Regions from separate parts of the Mus musculus genome. Here region 1 is reported to be linked to region 2. Evidence: microRNA targets listed by miRTarBase, many of them from high-throughput screens and not tested one by one. Region 2 holds a microRNA gene; the other region holds the end of a gene's coding sequence.
What was found. Region 2 holds the annotated microRNA mmu-miR-6908-3p (ACACUCUCCCUUGUGCUGGCAG, at 1,280-1,301, shown strand). A microRNA usually pairs through its seed, bases 2 to 8, with sites in the 3' UTR of a target mRNA and lowers its output. Matches are read on the target gene's strand: a 7mer-m8 pairs with bases 2 to 8, a 7mer-A1 pairs with bases 2 to 7 and ends in A, and an 8mer does both.

Region 1: miRTarBase lists Srfbp1 as a target of mmu-miR-6908-3p. The part of its 3' UTR that is shown has no 7-base or 8-base seed match.

Annotation. Positions count from the first base shown.
Region 1 is chr18:52,490,104-52,493,103 of GRCm38, forward strand. Srfbp1 (serum response factor binding protein 1) reads left to right here. Exons shown (of 8, transcript NM_026040.4): 8 at 341-1,830. The coding sequence ends at 525. Among named protein-coding and RNA genes, the nearest start is that of Srfbp1, 26 kb to the left of the region's middle.
Region 2 is chr10:78,443,396-78,446,395 of GRCm38, reverse strand. It overlaps Mir6908 (microRNA 6908), which reads left to right and starts at 1,239; the gene lies at 1,239-1,301. Pdxk (pyridoxal (pyridoxine, vitamin B6) kinase) reads left to right here. Exons shown (of 11, transcript NM_172134.2): 8 at 1,302-1,413; 9 at 2,479-2,615.

The DNA.
Region 1 (3,000 bases), not on the chromosome of region 2:
GAGAGGACAAAAATTGTCATTTCCTAATAGTATTATTCCTGATGTGTGTACCCACACAAGTAGAAATGGGGTGTTGTATCACTACCAGTATCAGTTTTTATTGGTTTTCTGTAGCTTGTTTTGTCTCCCCATATTGGCAAGAGCCTGCATACAATAATTAGCAAATTAACTACTTGTGTAAGTTCTTAATTCGAAGCTGTCTTCTATTGGGATGCAGCTTTAATTGGTGAGATACTGTGTCTAAGTAAAATACGATTTCCTTGAATGCGTAGTGTAAAGAAATGAAAGCTTTCTTTCTGCTCTGGTATAGTTACTTGTCGTTTTTGCTTTCTCTTCCCAGATTTTCCAGAAAATGAACCCCCAGTCAAGAAGCAGTTTACAAAGAGTGCATACAGAGGCTTTGAGAGTGTGAAGCAGACGATGCAGGCACCTCTGCATCCGTCCTGGGAAGCGAGCAGGAGGCGGAAGGAGCAGCAGTCCAAAATCGCTGTGTTTCAGGGGAAAAAAATTACATTTGATGATTGATTTGATACTTGCTGCCTCTTTGCAAGCGTTCTGTCAAAATTTTTGGTTTTGTTTTTAACTAACATGTTATTTAAACTTGCATTTTAAATAAGTCTCTTTCAAAGAGTTATAAAATATATTGCTTGTTTTTCTTTTTTTATGTGAATTTAGGGAATATTTACATAATCTTTTCACAGATCTCTAAATTTATTTCATAAGAATGCTTGCCCCAAATTATTTCTTACATAAAGTAATTTAGATATTACGGAATTTTAGGTTTTCTCATTCATGATTACAAAATATATTTCGCTAGTTAAGCTTTCCCTTTTGCCTTCAAAATAAGGCAAACAGGGCTTAGGAGATGGCTCACTTCCTGGGGCCCGATGGCCTGAGTTTGACCCCTGTGATTCCCTTGGTATGAGGGCAGAACTAATTCACAAAGTCGTTCTCTGATTGCACATACACTGTGGCACATGCCTATGTACATACAAATATGTTCACATATAATAAATGTCATATAAAAAATGTTAGGACATATTTAAAATAATAGTGAGAAAAGAAAGAAATTAGGACTAAAAAATATTTTTATAAGCAAAACAGAAATGGCAATTTTCATTGTGGATATAGAAATAGTATATAAATAAATATTAATTTGTGATAGTTGCAGTTACTTGTGACTTATCTTTGCAGTGTTTGAGCAACTTGCTTATGTGTAGCAACACCTAAAAGTTAAGTTCTAAGTACCCCTGCAATGAGTATTTCCATTCATTGAAGAATGGATCAATAGAGCCCTAGTTTTTCTGTCCATGGACCAAGTCCAGGATATAGTGTTCATGGTACAGAAAAGTTATGCATGGTGTCTAGTCACTTAGGCAAATATTGGAGTACAACACTGGGAATTGAACCTAGGGCCTCATGCATTCTAGGTCTTATACATGCTCTACCACTGAGGACCTTGCTGTGTGGCTCAAACAGGGCTGGGTTTTTACTCTCACAGTACCAAGATGCAGGCATTTTAACTTGTGTTGAAATGTAGAAGAGGAGGGATTGAAGTGGCTAAATAGGAGTTCTTGGACTCCTAAAGAACCATGTACTCCATACAGTAAAGGAAAAGAGGTTTGTAAAAGATGCTTGCCTGTTTCATACAGTGCAGTGACTTGTGTTCAAAGGAAAAGAAAGAGGTTTGTAAAAGATCCTCGCCTGTTTCATACAGTACAGTGACCTTAAAGGAAAAGAGAGAGGTTTGTAAAAGATCCTTGCCTGTTTGCCTTTTATTGCTGTGGAAGACAAGAAAGATGGTTAGTTAATTAAACAGTGCTAACTGAATTCTATGTGGCCTGCATATATATTCTCTTAGAACAAGGTAACGCCTTCCACTCTGCCTTCAAGCGCCTAGTTAGCAAGTGTACGTTCTGTTTTACAAACTTAGGAATGTCAGTAACTAGAACAGTGGGTTCAGTTTATGGCGGAGATGTGGAGTTTTCTTGAATCTTCATTCCAAGCAATTCCCTGTAAACCCCCCAACCCCCCCAAAAAAAAGTAAAGAAGAGAGTGTGTGTGTGTGTGTGTGTGTGTGTGTGTGTACACCTAAGCAAGTTGGAATGCTCTCTACAGTTTTGTAAGTTTGCCTAAGAGAGTTCCTTGGGCCAGGAGTCCACCTAAAAGTTGGAGGCAGACTTTTACATCTACTGCTATAGTTTATTACACGGAGACTTTACAATGGCAATGAACTTGCTGCTGTGCCTCCAGATAGAACAGCTGGTAGGGCATTTGAGTTTCTGGTAACTTTGCCCTTAATGTCTGGAGAGGTTCAGATTCATGAAAGGCACCACAGCAATCGGATATAGTCTAGACATACTAACTCTCTAGCAATAAAGATTATGTTTTATCAGACTAAAATACAACTCAAAGGTTGAAAAGTCCTGGGTTTGTGCCTTTTGATTCTCTTACTATAGTATTGTCCTAGCAAGTCTTCCTGTTATATAGGATCACAAACTGCCTGGGCCTGTGAGTGCCTACACTGTCCCACCTGCTACCTGGTGATTTTTGTCTCTGTCTTGATATATTTAAGGATTGACTTTGCAGCAAATCCTTAAAGGGGCTCTGCAAGTCTTTCTAAATCCTTCCTCCCTGATATTTAGCATCACACGTTCTATTGACGTTCTATCTTACCTCAAACTTTAGTAGGAAGACATACCTGTATTCTGTATTATCTGCCTAAGAGTGCTCTCAGGGTTAGCTGACGCCTCTGAACCAGTCAGCTAGTTAGAGCTTGGTTGCTTCTTTTTCTTTAATCTTCAGACATGGAGTCTCAAAACTGAAAGAAGAAAGTGTCTAAGCTCCTGGAACCAACTTTCTCTGAACTCAGGAGTTAATCAGGCTTGCAGTAATCCAAGGAGAGAGAGAGAGAGAGAGAGAGAGAGAGAGAGAGAGAGAGAGTGTGTGTGTGTGTGTGTGTGTGTGTGTGTGTGTGTGTGTGTGTGTGTGTGTGTGTGT
Region 2 (3,000 bases):
GCCAGCCACCTGAGTCACCATCATGTCCCAACACTGTTCTGGTTAGCTTCAAATCACACCATCCTACCCAGAAACAAGCAGTTGGCAGGAAGGAGCCACCCAGAAGGGACTCACTGGGCCTGGGAGCTACATGTGTCCAGGGCTGATAGGCATCTTCTATTTTTTGTTTGTTTGTTTGTTGGTTTGGTTTGGTTTGGTTTGGTTTGGTTTGGTTTGGTTTAGTTTGGTTTTCAAGACAGGGTTTCTCTGTAAAGTCCTGACTGTCCTGGAACTCACTTTGTAGACCAGGCTGTCCTCGAACTCTGAAATCTGCCTGCCTCTGCCTCCCAAGTGCTGGGATTAAAAGGCATCTTCCATTTTTAAAGACTTATCTATTTGTAGCTTCTGTGAGTTTTCCTGCATGTGTATGTGTGTACCATGTGTATGTCTTGTATCCTCAGAGCCAGAAGAGGGTATCAGATCCCTTGGAATTGGAGTTAAGGACAGTTGAGAGCCACCATGGTGGTGTTAGTAACTGACGCTGAGTCCTCTGTGAGAGCAGCTAGTGCTCTTAAGTGCTGATCCATCCCTCCAGCCTCTTGATGGGGATCTTCAGTGACACACCCAAGCAGCTCCATATACCACTGAAACCATCCTTTCCACCCTCTGTGACCCTAGAGAGTTCAGTGTGTGTAGTATATAAGTCCATGTATGTCATTTCCCGCTGAGTGGACAGTGGCTAAGTCCACACCTTGATCCGCTTGTATAGGCACCCAAGAGTGTGCCCTCTGAGGATGGCGATACAGACTAGGGTATCCATCAGGTTTAAACCCGCTTGAGCCTCGTGTCATGGCTCACAGCATTTAAAAGAAAGATGCAGTGACCTCTCTTTGAGTTCAAGACCAGCGTGGTCTACATACAAGTTCAGATCAGCCAGGACTGTATAGTATGATCCTGTCTCAATCAATAAATAAATAAACAAACAAAACAATACAAGCCAGCTCAGAGGGAAGCTTTCTCCTCATTGGTGGGTATGACTAGCTTCCTAGGTCCTCAGGAGTTGGGGTGCGACCCCCTCACTTCCTCATTGTACACTCTCAACTCCCAATGGTGTCACTCCCAATGGCTGGGCACTGGCTTGGCCATGTGTCTGCAAAGTTCCAGGGTCTCTGGAAGCCCATCAAGCATGCTGGTCATGCCTGGCTGCTCCATCTCTAATTGCAGAGAGGACAGTGACCTACAGGGGCCTGTCCCCTTGGGAAGCTTGCCTGTCAGGGAGAGCCCCAGTGTGTGGATGCTGACACTCTCCCTTGTGCTGGCAGGTGATGGACATGCTGCACTGTATGGGTCCCGACACTGTGGTCATCACCAGCTCTGACCTGCCCTCCTCACAGGGCAGCGACTACCTGATCGCGCTGGGTAGCCAGAGGATGCGTAAGTGCCTGTCCCACCTGCTCCTGCATGCTCCTGGGCCCATTGTTTACGTAGCCCATGGCATTCAGGCCTCAGAGGATGTTTGGGGCTCAATAGGAAGAAGCTCATACTGGGTCAGCAAGGGGCTGGTTGCTCTTGTCCCCCAGGAGAGTCAGACAGACAGAAGGCGGGCTCAGGACAGGGCTCTGTGGAGCCTGGTGGGGCTGGATGGGGTGCTGGGGACATAAGCAGACTCACCCACCCCCACTTCCTGTGCCTGAATTGGCAAGTTCTCATGTCTGGTGAGCTCCCCTACTGTGGGCCTGTGGCCTCTATTCCAGAGGCCAGCTGCATCTGGCTTCTGTGGCCTAGGTGGCCAGAGGGTGTAGATATCTGTTGGGCTGTGGTGACTTCGTATACAAGCAGCACCTTAATTAATTGTTTGAACAATATTACAATGCACAGAGCTGAGCCACTGGCTCTCAGGAACCCCAAGTTCACACCCACTGGCTCCAGTGAGCATTCTGGATGCACAAGGGTCTAGGGTTGTGTATCTGAATGCTTGTGTGCTGCACACATGCATGTAGATACAGACAGGCAATGCATCCAGGCAGTTCCTGGCACACTGAGTGTTCAACACCATGCTGACGTCATCTTCTAGGGACTCTCTCCTTTGGGACAGTGGAGGCATTTGGGGGTTGGTTATGATAGTCCACACGAGTCCCAGAACTACTGAAGGATGCCACACGCCACACCACATCTGTGTGACCATCTGAAGGATGGGCAGTGCTGACCTTCCTGTCACTTAAGAGATGTGGGGACAAGTTGGGCTGATAGGTTCTTCTCGATCTCTTTTTTTTTTTTTTTTTTTTTTGAGACAGGGTTTCTCTGTAGCCCTGGCTGTCCTGGAACTCACTTTGTAGACCAGGCTGGCCTCAAACTCAGAAATCCGCCTGCCTCTGCCTCCCGAGTGCTGGGATTAAAGGCGTGTGCCACCACACCAGGCAACAGGTTCTTACTGTAGGGGTGACCAGTGTCTGACTGAGAAGTCTCAGACCCAGTGACCTGGCTTATGTCCTCCCCCAGGGAAACCTGACGGCTCCACGGTGACCCAGCGCATCCGGATGGAGATGCGCAAAGTGGAAGCTGTCTTCGTGGGCACCGGGGACCTCTTCGCTGCCATGCTTCTGGCGTGGACACACAAGCACCCGGACAATCTCAAGGTCAGTTGTACCTGTTGCTCCTCTCCACCATTCCCTCAGTACTCCTGGTGGGAAGGTAGTGTGCTATGGTTCTAACCATGAGAGAGAAGAGCAGGTTAGTAGGGCCTGGGCCTGAGCCAAGAGTCTGTGGGAGGGTGGAGGGGACCATGTTTACATGTTTGGGAAGTGATGGCGTGGAAACAAAAACCTCAGGGGCTAAGATTTAAAAGTTGGTACTCAGGTAGCTCAGGATGTATGTCTAGTGCATGCATATGACCTGGGTTTTGACCCTCAGAGTGTAAAAGGTAGATTAATTTAAAAAATTAAAAGGACAGAAACTACCATTCACACAGGATTCAGCCAGAAATCCTGGGCCCATGCAGCCTTTCAGACTCCTCCTTGGTGG